2 linked regions of the Struthio camelus genome follow. The protein of the gene in region 1 interacts with the protein of each later gene in a pairwise test. Links are inferred from orthologs where the notes say so. Each region holds a gene or a part of one and is shown on either strand. Other genes may lie near its edges.

Region 1 (7,646 bases):
CCTGGCTTCTTTGGGAAGCAGCAAGACCTGTGATTCAGGGTCTCCTTTCTGACGTTCACGGCATTGCTGTCCATGCCACACGCTTCCTTGCCCGAGGTCGTCAACCCGAACCTACCTCTGGGAAGCTCTTAGAAATCCCAGGGCAATAATCGGCGTGCTTAGGGCTAACGTCAGGTACCAAGGTTTGATCCTAGGGGAGCTACTGCACAAGCAACGGCTCCTCTTCCAGATTCGAGCTACCAAGAGATTCAGATAGGCAGGGAGAGCCGGCCTCAGCCGCAGGCAGTTTGCATCTATTCTGTCAGACGGAATTAATAAGAAAACATCATTCCACAGGCTAGTTTCAACCTCAGCTGCACCTGCCAGTGAAAATACCTACATTGGGCAGACCCCGTTCTTACCCTTGAGCGGTACAGTCTGCCAGCTGGGAGAAGACAGGCCAGAAATCCCTCTGGATTTGGAAGCCAGGTCTCTGGTTTCCCAGCCGGGAGCAGCAAACGATGTCCCTCCGAACCCAGCCGGGACTCCCCGGCTGCATCCCACCGCGGCTCTTTGCATCCAGAGGGTTCCCGCAACGGTTCCTCCTCTGGCTCTCCCTAGAAACATCCCAGCGCCTTACGCCGCCGCTCACGTTTCCCCGCGCGCGAGCCCAACGCGCTTCCATCCGGTATCGCCAGGGGATCGGCGCGGCGCTGCTTGCTCGATACCTGCAGCTCGTCCGGCGTTGCTCACGCGACCGTTTCGGAGGAACGGCCTCAGCTCCGGAGTGATTTGCTTAGGGACGACTCCACAGAAGGGTCGCACGCAGGACACGACCTTCACGACAGCGAGAACCCAAAGCTTAAAACCTGCAAAATTTCCCGGCCAGCGGCCCTGCTAGCGAAGACGTGACTCCCCAAGATATACGGGGGAGCCATATGATCCCAGATGCCCGCCTGCAGGACGGCGGCAGCCCTCGCTACACCATGCGCGCCCGGTTGGCGGGTTTGCTCCTGACCCTGCTGCCAGTTAGAGCGCTTGCAATTTTAACAGCAAAATTAATGTTTCGGACAAGAAATTTGTGTTGACTCAAATGCTGATTTCACGCACCGCCCGCCCTCCCTTCCCGCAGCCATGAAAGCGCACAGATTGTTTCTTCAAATACGTCAGACGATCCGTCAGTTAAAAAGGGTTGATAGTCTGGGCTGATTATGCCGGGATTTTAACCTGTAAGCGCAGGTAGCGCGTTCCTCACCTGCACCGCCGCGGCATCCGCTGCGGCGCATCCACGCTACCGCTCGCCCAAGGGGACCAACACCCAGCAGAGAGCTCCAATTACCTGGAGAACCTACATACCACGCTAACGAGGAGTGCCAAATACAATCTGCACCCTCCGGCTGAGCAGGGGTTTTAAGACAGCTAAGCGAGATCCATGTTGGCCTTAAAAGGGAGTGGCTCGGCCCTGCATCGCTCGAGCCGACAGCAAAAGATCACGACGGTTTTAGGAGCCCCCCCAGCCTCGGCAACGAATCGCAGCGCCGTCCGGATTGGCGCTGCCGCAAGCGGCCGCCGGCACCACCGCTGCGGCGCACCGAGCGCCCTGCGCTAGGCTTCATAAATAACCCAGAGGGCACGGGCTCCGCTGCCGGTTTGGAGAGTGCCCAGATCCTTGCAAAAAATAATAATTAAAAAAAAAAAAGGAAATAAATAAATAAATAAATAAATAAAATAAATCACAGCCTCCTACCCAAGCCGGGGTGGGGGGGGGGGAACGGCTGACGCCTTATCTGCGCCGCAGGAGCGCCAGGGACCTTACCGGCTCCTTCCCGCGGGGTTTTATTTCTCACCTCCCTCTTCCTCTGCGGGTAAACGCCGCTCTGCGGAGACCCTCCGCCCCCCCCCCCCCGGGGGGGGGAAAGGCTCTAGCCCAAAGGCGGTGGGTGGCCCTCGGTAAGCCCCCCCCCGGCGCCCGGAAGCCGAGCACCTGCTAGCACGGTGCCGGTGTGCCCGGGCGAGCCGGGAGCCGAGCTGTGCCAGAAGGAAAACAGCTACGGAAAAGGGACGACGTTATACGATCAATCCCCCCCCCCCGCTAAGAAAACCAAAAGGAAAAATAATAATAAAAAAACCCACCCTCTTACGGGTCAGGCAGCGATTTGAAAGCACAGAAAGGAGAAAAAACCCCGAAAAGCGGATAGCAAAGGGGACAAACGGGAGCAAAGCCGAGCTGGCGGGTCTGCGCGGAGATTTCCCCCCCCCCCCCCCCAAATCTCCCCGCTTTACGGCGGGTCCGAAGGATAATGAACAAATAGGGATTCCTCCGAGGACAGGCGAGTTTTTCCGGCCGGCCGCCCAGGCCTGGCGCTGGGTTTCGGGCCCCCCTCGGCTGCCCGGCCTGGAGCCGCCGGGCGAGTAGGCCCCGCTGCGGTGGAAATACAGGAAGTTGGACGGCTGGAAAAGGGGGGGGAAAAAAAAAAAAAAAGAAAAAGAAAAAAAAGAGAGAGAGAAAGAAAAAAAAAAAAAGCAACCCAAGACAGGGAGCGGACTGGCTGCAGCCAGTCTAAAGGGGGACAAAAAAAAAGGGGGGGGGGGGAAATGCAATTGGAAAAAAAAAAAAAGAAATTAAAAAAATAATGCATGTAATCCCCCCCCCTCCAACCCAGCCGCCCCCCCCCCAGGCCTGTGGGGCAGCGCAGCCCCAGCGCCCCCCCCCCCCTCCACCACCAGCCCCACGGCGGGTTTTTGGTGTGGAGCAGGGCTCCCCCTCCCACGTCGAGGGGAGGGGGGGGTGTTTGAGGGGTGGTTTGGGGAGGGGGGGTGTCCCCCCCCCCTAAAACCACACACACACTTTCCGGCGGGACCTACCTGTCGAGGGCCGTCTGGGGAGGCCTCACGCTCATGGTTCCTGCGCCGGCCCCCGGCGTGTCCCCGAGGCCGGGGGGCAGCCGCCCCCTCTCCGAAAAAACAACCCCCCCCCCTCCCCTTTCCTCCCGGCCACCAAAAAGAAAAAAATTAATAATAATCAAACTGAAAAAAAATAATAAAAAGCAACCAACCCACCCACCCTCCCTCCCCCCCCCCCCGCGGCGCGGTGCCTCGGCGGCGCTCAGGAGCCGGGCGGCCGCGGGTCCATCTTGAGCCGCCGCCGCCGCCCCTCAGCCCGGCCGCCCCGCGGGCGACATCCTGCCTGCGGCGGCTCCGCGCCGCGCTCTCCGCGCCGGCCCCGGCGGCCGGACCCGCACGGCGGCGGCAGCAGGAGGAGGAGGAGGAGGAGGAGGAAGGGGGGGAGAAGGGAGGCAGCGAGGCGGCGCGCAGCCCCCCCCCTCCTCCTCCTCCTCCTCCTCCCTCTCCCCCGCCTCCGCCGCGCCCCGGCTGACAGCCGCCGCCGAGAGGCCCCGCCGCCGCCGGGCTGCCCTCACCCCGGCCCCGGCCCCGGCCCCGGCCTAGCCCCGCTCCCGATCCCCGGCCTCGCCCGGCCCCGCCGCCGCCGACCGGGGGGGCAGCAGGCAGGGCCGGTGTGGGGCGGCCGGGCTGGGGGGGGGGCCCGCACAGGGCCCCGGTATGGGGGGACGTATAGACAGAGGCTGGGTGTGGGGGGACGTATAGACAGAGCCCTGGTATGGGGGGACGTATAGACAGAGGCTGGGTGTGGGGGGACCCAGACAGGGCCTGGGTGTGGGGGGATGTATAGATAGAGCCCCGGTATGGGGGGACGTATAGACAGAGGCTGGGTGTGGGGGGATGTATAGATAGAGCCCCGGTATGGGGGGGCGTATAGACAGAGGCTGGGTGTGGGGGGACGTATAGACAGAGCCCCGGTATGGGGGGACCTATAGACAGAGGCTGGGTGTGGGGGGACCCAGACAGGGCCTGGGTATGGGGAGACCTATAGACAGAGCTCCGGTATGGGGGGACGTATAGACAGAGGCTGGGTGTGGGGGGACGTATAGACAGAGGCTGGGTGTGGGGGGACCCAGACAGGGCCTGGGTGTGGGGGGACGTATAGACAGAGCCCTGGTATGGGGGGACGTATAGACAGAGGCTGGGTGTGGGGGGACCCACACAGGGCCTGGGTATGGGGGGATGTATAGACAGAGGCTGGGTGTGGGGGGACCCAGACAGGGCCTGGGTATGGGGGGACCTATAGACAGAGCCCCGGTATGGGGGGACGTATAGACAGAGGCTGGGTGGGGGGGGCTGTATAGATAGAGCCCCGGTTTGGGGGGACCTATAGACAGAGCCCTGGTATGGGGGGACGTATAGACAGAGGCTGGGTGTGGGGGGACCCAGACAGGGCCTGGGTGTGGGGGGACGTATAGACAGAGCCCCGGTATGGGGGGACGTATAGACAGAGGCTGGGTGTGGGGGGACCCAGACAGGGCCTGGGTGTGGGGGGATGTATAGATAGAGCCCCGGTATGGGGGGGCCTATAGACAGAGCCCGGGTATGGGGGGATGTATAGACAGAGGCTGGGTATGGGGGGACCCAGACAGGGCCTGGGTGTGGGGGGACGTATAGACAGAGCCCCAGTATGGGGGGACGTATAGACAGAGGCTGGATGTGGGGGGACCCAGACAGGGCCTGGGTGTGGGGGGATGTATAGACAGAGCCCCGGTATGGGGGGACATATAGACACGGTCTGGGTGTGGGGGGACTCACATAGGGCCTGGGTGTGGGGGGACCTATAGACACAGGCTGGGTGTGGGGAGACCCACACAGGGCCCCGGTATGGGGGGACATATAGACACAGGCTGGGTATGAGGGGACCTATAGACACAGACTGGGTGTGGGGGGACCTACACACAGCCCGGGTATGGGGGGACGTATAGACACAGGCTGGGTATGGGGGAACGCACACATGGCCCTGGTATGGGGGCATCTATAGACAGAGCCCAGCTGTGGGGAAACCCACACAAGGGCCGGGTATGGGAGGCACGTATAGACAGAGCCCCGGTATGGGGACACACACACAAGGGCTGGGTATGGAGGCTCGTATAGAGTCCAGGTATGGGGGGACGGACACACAGCCTGAGTATGAGGGGATGTATAGACAGAGCCTGGCTATGGGGGGACCTATAGAAACAGGCTGGGTGTGGAGGGATGCACACACGGCCTGGGTATGGGGGAAAGTATAGCCACAGCTCGGCTATGGGGGGACCCACACATGACCCAGGTATGGGGGGGCATATAGGCACAGGCTGGGTATGGGGGGACGTATAGATACAGCCCGGGTATGGGGGGACATGTAGGCACAGGCTGGGTATGGGGGGACCGACACACGGCCTGGCATTGGGGGGATGTATAGACAGAACCCAGCTATAGGGGGACCCACACATGGCCCGGGTATGGGAGGACATATAGACAGAGCCTGGCTATGGGGGAACCCACACACAGCTCGGTTATGGGGGGACGTATAGACAGAGCCCAGCTATGGGGTGACCCACACATGGCCCAGTATGAGGAGATGTATAGACAGAGCCTCAGTATGGGAGGACCCATACACAGCCCGGGTATGGGGGGACATATAGACAGAGCCTGAATATGGGGGGACCGACACACTGTCTGGGTATGGGGGGCCGTATAGACAGAGCCTGGCTATGGGGGGACCCACACACAGCTCGGGTATGGGGGACCTATAGACACAGGCTGGGTATGGGAGAAAGTATAGCCACAGCTCGGCTATGGGGGGACCCACACATGACCCAGGTATGAGGGGATATATAGGCACAGGCTGGGTATGGGGGGACATATAGATACAGCCTGGGTATAGGAGGACCCACACATGACCTGGGTATGGGGGGACATATAGACCCAGGCTGAGTACAGGGGACATATAGACACAAGCTGGGTATGGGGGGATGTATAGACAGCGCCCGGCTCTGGGGGCGCTGCCCTCCCCGCTCTCCGGGGGGGCCGAGCAGCTCGGTGCCCCCCTGCTCCCGCCGCCGCACCGAAACCCCCCGGATCCCTGCACCCCCAGGCCCAGCGGTGCCCCCGCTCCTCCCGAGGGTCCCCTGCGGACCCCCACCGCCCCCGAAACTCCTCAGCCCCCCTCCTTTTTATTCCCGCCCCGACGCGCCGGTGAGGGGCTGCGGCCTCCGGCCGCCCCGGCGGTAGCCTTCCTCCCCGTCCCGCTTCTCCTCTTCCTCACCGAGAGCCCCGGGCGTCGCAGCCGGGGGGGCACCCAAGGGACCCCCCCCCACACCCACCCGCCCGCCCTTGCCCCGCGCCATGGGGGACGCGCTGCCCTTCTCCTCCCTCCCGCCCCGCTCCGGCTTCGGCCTCGCCTGCGCCCCGGCCTCCCTCCCTCCCGACCGCAGCCGCTGGGTGCTGCTGTGCGACCGGCGGCGGAGCAGCACCCGCCGACCGCCGCCGCCACCCCGGCGCGGCTCCCCGGCCCTCCTCCCGGGTCCACCCAAGGCCGCCGTCACCCTCTCGTCGGAAAGGGGCGCGTGGCAAACGCCCCGGGGCAGGCCGGCCACCGGTGCCACCGCTGTCCCCACCTCGGCTCTCCGGGCAGCTGGAGGCATCCGCGGATGCACCCACCTGGCGGGATGCACCCAATGCCCAAGGGGAGGCACCCAATGCCGAGGGGGATGCACCCGGTGCCTTGGGGTGACGCACCTAGCGCCTGGGGGGTGCACCCAGTGCCTGGGGGGGGGTGCACCCAACACATTGGGGGGATGCACCCAACACATTGGGGGGAGGTACCCAGCGCCCAGGGGGATGCACCCAACACGTTGGGGGGAGGCACCCAGTGCCCGAGGGGATGCACCCACCTGGGGAGAGGCACCCAGTGCCCAGGGGGATGCACCCAGTGCCTGGGGAGATGCACCCAACACGTTGGGGGGAGGCACCCAGAGCCTGGGTGGATGCACCCAACACACTGGGGGAATGCACCCAATGCCTGGGGGGGATGCCCCCCCGGGGGGATGTACCCAGTGCCCAGGGGCATGCACCCAGAGCCTGGGGGGATGCACCCACCTGGTGAGATGCACCCGATGCCTGGGGAGATGCACCCAACACATTGGGGAGATGCACCCAGTGCCCAGGGGGATGCACCCACCATGTTGGGGGGATGAACCCAGTGCCTTGGGGTGATGCACCCAGTGCCTGGAGGGGTGCACCCAGCACATTGAGGGGAGGCACCCAACACATTGGGGGGAGGCACCCAGTGCCTGGGGAGATGCACCCAACACATTGGGGGGATGCACCCAGTGCCTGAGGAGATGCACCCAACACATTGGGGGACGCACCCAGTGCCTGGGGAGATGCACCCAACACATTGGGGGGATGCACCCAGTGCCCAGGGGGATGCACCCAATTCTTGGAGGGATGCACCCAACATGCTGGGGGGATGAACCCAGTGCCCAGGGGATGCACCCAACACGTTGGGGGGAGGCACCCAGAGCCTGGGCGGATGCACCCAACACACTGGGGGAATGCACCCAATGCCTGGGGGGGATGCCCCCCCCCCCCAGGGGGATGCACCCAGAGCCTGGGAGGATGCACCCACCTGGTGAGATGCACCCAGCACGTTGGGGAGATGCACCCAACACGTTGGGGAGATGCACCCAGTGCCCGGGGGGATGCACCCAGCACCTTGGGGCGATGCCGTGCTGCTGCGGGGCCTCCCAGCCGCCGTCCCTCCGGGGGACCGGCGCATC
Region 2 (7,654 bases), on another chromosome or scaffold:
GACGGGGGTCAACAGCCCAGCTCCCCTGCCAGGGCTGAGTTGGGCCCGGGGTCTCCAGCTCAGTCTTTGAAGGGTGAGACTCAGCCAGAAGTCACGGGCACTTTCCCCACCCTCCCGTTCAGGTGTCAGACACAAGTCTCGGCACTCCTGGGGGCTGTTTGCTCCTTCGTGCTGGCGCCCCAGCAGCTGAGGCCATGCTGTGCGTGGGAGAAAGGGAGGCCAAGATGAGTCCCTCTTCTGGGGGACTGGCGGGAGGCAGGAGGCGGAGGTGGGCCTCTCTTGCTCTCTAGGATTTTCTCCTCTCCGTGGGGGAAAGTGCCCGTGCCATTGCCTCCTCGTCTCTTACGTGCCAAAGGGGCTTGTGCTGGGCCAACCCCCCCCAGGGGGACGCTCTCCCTTTTCAGCCTGGGTTCGGTTCTGGGAGCCCGCAGCCTCCCTGGGCCCAAGAGAGAAGCGCCTCCGAGCTCCCGTGCCACAGGCAAAACAGTTTGGAGTCAGGGAATTTTATCCAGCTTAATTTACTGCCCACCAACACAAAGCTCTGACTATCGATTCCCATATGGAGAAAAAGAAGGACGCAAACCCCTTTACACAGGGTCAGGAACTTTTCCTGAGTCAAGGGAGGAAGTCTTTCCTCCTGCATGGAGAAAATAATTTCCTCATGTGAGGAGGGAAGCCTCTCGCTTCTTCTGCCCCTCCCCAAGCCTCCACAGAGAGCAGTGATGAGAGAGCTCCTAAAGTAATGTATTAAGGATGCTCTGACATCTGGGAATACAAGGACAATCAAAATTTTCTGTACACAAAAAGTGCTATTTTAATCATTTTAAAAGACCTGAAGTTGTTTTTTAGCCACTTAAGTTTTTCTTAGGTTATCGCCATGACCACAAGGCAACAACCTTACTTTCTAAAGGCTGGTAATCAATCATCTGGTTGTTTATCTGCCCATCAGCCCCCCATAAAAACGTCACAAGATATTGGCTGGTTGCAATCAAATGAATGAAAGAGGTAGAAGTCTCAAAGATAATTAAGTTCCCAGGGGGTTGTGAATATCAGTGACTACAGACTCAAATTAGTTTTCCAAAAGAGAGAAAGGCAGGAAGAACTCAGCTGCTGTCTGGCAGCAGCCAGTGGCCACCTAGGTGCAGGCAGGCCACCAACACGCACGTGGCTCGGCACCAGCAAGCACTGCCTCGCACCAACCTAGAAGAGATGTCACACAGAGCATGAAAGAGAGAAGGGAAGGAAAGGTTATAGCGGTGAGTGAGTCAGCCAGGAACCCACAGGAATCCGGGCTTCATTAGTTCTGTTGTTCGCGGAACAAGGTGCTTTTAATAATGACAGCTGGAAATTCTGATCTTTTTATAGGCCTCAAAGGTCTTGGCCATAGGAATGATACTGCACATTACCCTGCCTTAGCTAAAATTGTGAGAATTGACAGAGCTGGGAAAGGAAGCAGGAACAACGCACAAACATTGTCTGAGATATGAAAGATATTAATAGGCAGAGAAAAAAACAGAAGGGCATGCATAGCAATGAGTAGGTGATAACAAGGTGAGGAGAGAAAGAGGGAGCGGGGAAGGAGGAAATAAATAGGAAATTGAAATCTGGACCAGAGTCCTATTCACAGGCAGTTCCATTATCTCTGTCCCTACAATGGAAAGCAACAGAAGAAGGCTTTCACCCTTAATCAGCACACTGCGCATGTGGAAGTGCAGAGTGACAGTTAAGATCTTTGAGATTCTAGGAAGCTGTTAATCACTCTATCATTTACTTGTTGCTCTTTTCCAAGCAACTGTGTGTTTACGATTTTTTTTTTTTGATGAGTAGGGTGATAAGGAGTGGGGGAACAATCCTTTAATAGCAAATAGCAGTTTTTGATGTGCAGCTGTTTATCTGAGTTCACTGGGGAGTTATCTCTCTGTATCACATACTTTGCATTTAGGGAACTGAGCAAGCTGCATGCTTGCTGAATGCCTTGCTACACTTAGAGAAGGATGATGTGCTGGCTCCAAGGCAATGAAGGACCCATGGGAGGCAGAATAGCATCTTGTGAACACTTTGCACCTTCGTAGGCAGGCCGCATGCTGGATGACGTTGCACTGATTCATTTCAGCCTAGGATAACAAAAGTTATCCTGCATATGTTTGGGTCCCAGCTGAGGGGAACAAGGGCTGATATGCCATGCTTTAGCACACCCACACATGCCTAGCAGAAAGGCAACTTATGGAGACTTAGCAGAGCAGATAGATAGCTACCCTAGGATGGGATACTATATGGCCATCTTGAGCTCTAGTTAACTTTACAGTCCCTGTCACAGTAGGCAAGGTCAAACGCACCACAGGTAATTAGGAGATGAAGATTCAGCATGGCCTCACTTCACCAGCTCCTCTTCTGAATTAAATGAACTGTCACCATTGCTGTGTCTGTGTGTGTCTGTCTAGAAACCTAGAAAGGTTTCTAAAGAAATGGCTGTCATGAGGCCACAGCAACAGGAGCCAGAGGGAAGCATTCCAGCCGGAGGAAGCCATGTGGAGTGGCAGGGGGGTTAGGCTTAGAGCTGGGGCACCCACCATGAGGCAGCAGCAGTGTGGCAAGCAGTGTCGTCCTGGTCAGTGGCCACTGGATGGAGCAGGTGTGGGCCCAGTACTGGGCGCACCCCTCACTGTAGGGTGAGCAGGTCAAGAGCTCTGGAGCAGGACGGGTGGGGGGTGACAAATGCCAGAGCCACCAGCAAAAGCCCCTGGGACAGAGCATGCCCGGAGGCAGGGATTCACAGGCTGGAGCATAGGGAGAGATGCCTGGCCGGTAAGTCCAGGGCATTCTGCCAAAAGTTTGGGCTCAATCTGGCTATATGCCCAGAAGTTGAAAAAGCAGCCTGGAAAGTGAGGTCCTACTGAGCCCATTAGCAGCCTGTGAGCTCCTCTGTCCTGGATCCCTCCCAGAGCTTGCAGGACAGGACTAACCCAATTTTCCTAAGGAAGTCTCATCTCCCTTCTCTTCAAGTTCCCCTTCTTTCCTGATGAAACTTAACAGGTGGGGGGGATCCAGTTTTTCTGTCCCAGAATGCGAAAATACTCCAGAACTATGCCAGAGCAGTTCTTTCTCACTGTGCGGTGAGAAAGACTTCCTTACCCTGTCAGGTAAAGAGCAGGAAAAAAGCCAAAGAAGGATGAGGGCCTGCTCCTGGAGGTCAGCAAAAAGCGTGGAGCAGGTTCATGAAACCTGAACCAGTAGAAAGTCTGCCTCCTAAAGGCAAAACCCAACAAAACACCACATAATGTTTGAACGGCTCTAGCCTGCAGTTAGAGGGAGGCTGCACTTTCATGGAGAAGGCCTGAAAGCCACATTTAACATCTCATTGAAGAGCCTGTCACTTTTTACTCTTGCCCAGGCTTCTGAGCTGATTTTTATTTATTTGGAGTTTGTTTTTGTTCTGAGAAACAGGGACAATTTTTCTGAGAAACAGGGACAATTTTTCAGGAACTTGCAGGTGCCATTTGAGAACTGTGGCTTTCTGACTCTCTCTCTTATCACTTCAGTGAGAAGCCTAACACACAGATTGTTTGACAGAACTGTACTCGAAGTGCCAACAGCAGCTTAATTAAATACTCTTTGCCGCATTGCTGGTCCATGTTTGAGGGACAGAAAGCTCTAAAGCCTAAACAATTTGCCGAAAGGCCACTTGAGCCATTCTTCTAAAATATCCCCCTTTTTAAAAGGTAATCCCTATGTTAATTATAGTCAAGACAAATGGGATATCTAAATGTGGAGATCATGTGGTTTTGCACACAGGTGGGGTAGAAAGCTCCAGTTTGCACATTCCTGGAGGAAAAGGAGAAATTTGCACATTCTCTAGTAGCAGTGTGCTTGAGAAGGGGAAAAAAGACCTTTGGAAACAGAGATTATAGGAAGAGTTTAACCGAAAAGGATACACGCTGTACTATTTTAAGTTCACTAACAATTGTGCCGGGGATGTATTTTGGGCTCCTCAACGACAGGACAAGGTATGCAGCAGGAGAGGCGAACTCGGGAGCCCTGGAGTTCCTGTCTCGCTGCTCAGAGGAGGAGGAGGAGGAGGAGGAGGAGGAGGAGGAGGAGGAGGAGGAGGAGTGGAAATGGGTCTGTTCTACTCAGGAGCTTCGCCAAACCACCACCGGAGCAGGCGACGTACCCCAACGCCTTTAACTACGGAAAAACACAGAGACCCTTTCCAAGCGGTCTCCGCTGCCCGGGCCGCCCTGCCCCGCCGGAAAGCGCCGCGCAGGCCGGGGCCGGCCCGTTTCGGCGCCGTCGCTGCGCTCCGCGCCAGCAGCGCGGACGAGGGTTACGCGGAGGCGCAGGGAAGAGGCGGCGGGGCAGGGCAGGGCAAAGCAGCCCGGCGCGGCGGGGCTGCACTGCGCTCCGCGACGCGGCGGGGAGGAGGGCCGCCCCCCCCGCCCCCTCCGCGCTCGGGGCTCCGCGGGAGCGCTCGGCCCCTCCGCGGCCGCGCCGCCTCTGCCCGGCCGGCGGGCAAAACAATGCGGAGACGGGAAGGGAGAGAAAGTGCGGCTCGTTCCTCCTCCTGGCGCTGTCTGGTTTTCGCTGCAGGAGACAGCGCGGCAAGCGGATCCTGACCAGGGGCAGGGGGTGGAGAGAGGCGGAGGAGGAGGACGGAGGGAGGGAGGGAAGGAGGGACGAACGGGAGCCTCTCTCCTTCCCTGGGCTGTTTTTTTCAGTTTCCTGTCTCGCATTGTGCTCACAGCGGATATGTGCTGCGCCTACAGGTGTGTCCCCTCCTCGCAGCTTTTCTCTGGCTCCCCGGCGTAGGCTCGGGCTGTCGGGGGGCGGCGGCGGCGGATCGCGATCGTCATGTGATGAGTGATTTCTCTCGGGGCGGTTTCTCTCTCCTCTCTCTCTCTCTCTCTCTTCCTCCCCTTCCTCTCTCCCTCTCTCCTCCTTCCTCTCGGAGGACTCGAGCGCGGCTGCTGCTGTGGCCGGGGCATGGGCAGCGGCCGGGGGCTGCCGTAGCGCCGGGCGCCTCGGCCGAGCGCGCTGCCGCCGCCCGCTCCGCGCTGCCCTGCGCGGCCGGACCCGCGGGGCGCGGCGCGGCCGCTCCGCCTGGCCGGCTCCGACGGTCCGCGCCCGCGGGGAGCGCTCCTGCCGGCGCCGACACCTGTTGAAGGTAACGCGGCCCCCTCCCTGCGGCTGCGCGCGGCGGGCCGGGGCCGCGGGGTGGCTTGCGCGGCTCCGTCCCTCCTCTTCTCCGCGCCGCCAGGCTGCTGAGCCGCGGGTCGAGCCGCTCCCCCTCCTCGGTGGCCGCGGAGCGGCCGCGGGGCAGGGCGGAGCGGGGACGGCGCGGACGGGGCTTTCCTCCGCGCCCCATATGGCTTTGATTAACCCGCGGCTCCGCACTTCGAGCGCGGTTCCTAACCAGCCGCGCAGCGCTGGGAGGAGGCGCGGCTCTGCCCCGCGGCTGCGCGGCGGCTCCGCGGGCGGCTCCTCCCCCGGGAGCGGGGGCGTCGGTGCCCGGCGGGGCTCGGTCCCCTCGGCTGCAGCGCGGCCCCGGCCGTGCAGCCCCGTTGCTGCTCTCGGGAGCTTCATGCCCGCCGCATCCCGGCGGGGTGGCGAGCCCCGCTCTGCGGCTCGCCCGGTCCGCGCGGGCTCTGGCTCAGGCACGAAGTTGGGCTTTCCTGCAAATGCCTTTTGTCTCTCTAGACAGGCAACGCAACTTTAAACTTTCTTTCCAAGCTGTCGATTAGCTATACTGTACTTTGCTCGTGTTTGGTGCAGGCGAATGGCACTGCGAGGCCAGAGCGCTCGTGACTCAAAGCGTAGTTATTCGAGAGCTGCAAAACACCTCTGCCCTCCTCTGCCTGCCTGGGCTGTACCTGCGACTTTGTGACTTTATCTTCTCTGAGGTTGCGTCAGTCTCTGTGACACCCTAAAACAGAAAGGGTTGGAGGGAATTGTCTGGGTCCTTGAGAGTTAGTCAGACACTTGTGTGAAGATACAAAAACGAGCTGTAAGTTTATTGTGCCTCTGCAGTCTCGCGATCGGTAGCATTGCCTTTGTGGTCTGTGTATTACGATGCTACAGACCTATCCTGACTGCTGAGCTCCGGTCAGAGAATGAAAACTTGCTTGTGAGGGAACTTAATGCTTTTGTAACTAATATTGTTACCTTGAATGTGAGGGTTGTTTAACTTACTGAACACCAGAGGGAACTCTGAATAGGTAATTCATTCAAGAGAGATATGTGCTTATTTTATTATTTATGTCTTCAATACAATGGAATCTAAAAGGAAGCTACGGACAGTAAGTAATAGGTTGCTAGCTACAATTGGCCTGAGCTTTCTTTGCAGTTTCTTTAAGGTTATCAGACTCAAAGCTGGACTGAAAATTCTTTCCTTCCCTTTCAGCATGTGAAATACATCACTGGCCCTGCAGGAGCAGGGCTGTGTACCATGCCCTACACAAAACAGCTGGGTGACCCATTAGCTGTGAGCTAGGGAGCATGATTGTGTGTATGTGTTGGGCCGTCCCTTAACGCTCTGCTTGCCTCTTGGCTTGTGAGACAGGATTTTGTACACTTGGTATGGGACTGCTGGCTGGAGTGGGAAAGCCAGAGCAGAGCATGCTTCCAGCCAAAACAAAAGGGAGGAAGTCTGCTTCCGAGGCTCTAGTGGCTTCACCTCATTGCTTTTAAATATTTGTGGTTCTGAAGCCCTGGTGGGAACCTAATATGATTGAATGTGAACTGGAAAATCATCTCCACTAGAAAATATTATTCAAACCAGTACAGTAAGTAAGTGATGGCAGTGTTTGGAAAAAGACTTTGAATGGAGAATTCTGATGATAAAAGCTGTGTAGCAGATCTTTTTAAATGATCTGATATGACTGGAAGAAGCTGATATCAGCCTACCAAAAGGTGATGCTGTACTCTAATAAAATAAACCTCAAAACACTCACCTGAAGCTTTCAATGCCCTTGATAATCTATTACAGTTTGGGTGGGGGGAGGGAGGAGACATCCAGACCTCTCTGATACTCCAGGTTTTTAAATATGGGAAGGATAACATAATAAAAACACTCATGACTCTGAGTTATGTTCCAGTAGCTGAATCATCCAGCTGTTCATCCTGTCCCTTTGCCAGAGGTTACTTTGCCATTCAGCTACGTTTGCTATTGGAGTTTGAATCCACTTTTCAGCTGCCAGAGTTTACAGCCTGGCATGTTATTGTAAACTGTATTTTATGGCTGTTCACGTTAGCACATAATGTTGTAAAGTCCAGTAGCATGAACATCCTGTTTGTCCCTCTCTTCTGGCAGAGAGACAAGGAAAACAGCTGGGGTCAGCTAAATCCAGCTGCAATCGTGAATTGAAGCCCTCAAGCACCTATCTTTTTTTGAAATGGCGTTTTCCTAGCAAATGTTAGTGGTGACTGAAATGAACTACCTCTGTATTGATGAGTATGGAGAGTGGGGAGGCAGCTCTGCACAAGAAGCGATTGTATAACATTCCTGATGGTTTCATCATAGCAACCAATTTTCTGTGTTTCGGAGGAGTGTAGCAAGCAGTCCACCTGAGCAATCTCCCCCCCCCCCCCCCCCGAAGCATTCTGGGAGTTAACAAGTGAACAATATGTTTTTTCTTTTAGCCAAGCCTTGCTTTGTACA

Evidence for each region.
Region 2: the proteins of ARHGEF11 (region 1) and PLXNB2 interact in a two-hybrid assay, tested with the Homo sapiens proteins (2 studies listed by BioGRID). The link is inferred for Struthio camelus from reciprocal best matches to the Homo sapiens genes ARHGEF11 and PLXNB2.

The regions. Positions count from the first base shown.
Region 1 is NC_090971.1:3,416,559-3,424,204, reverse strand, and holds the start of ARHGEF11 (rho guanine nucleotide exchange factor 11), read right to left. Parts: upstream 3,009-7,646; 5' UTR 2,880-3,008; coding exon 2,845-2,879; intron 1-2,844. UniProt on the Homo sapiens protein: May play a role in the regulation of RhoA GTPase by guanine nucleotide-binding alpha-12 (GNA12) and alpha-13 (GNA13). Acts as guanine nucleotide exchange factor (GEF) for RhoA GTPase and may act as GTPase-activating protein (GAP) for GNA12 and GNA13.
Region 2 is NC_090942.1:23,249,685-23,257,338, reverse strand, and holds the start of PLXNB2 (plexin-B2), read left to right. Parts: upstream 1-4,641; 5' UTR 4,642-4,763; intron 4,764-7,654.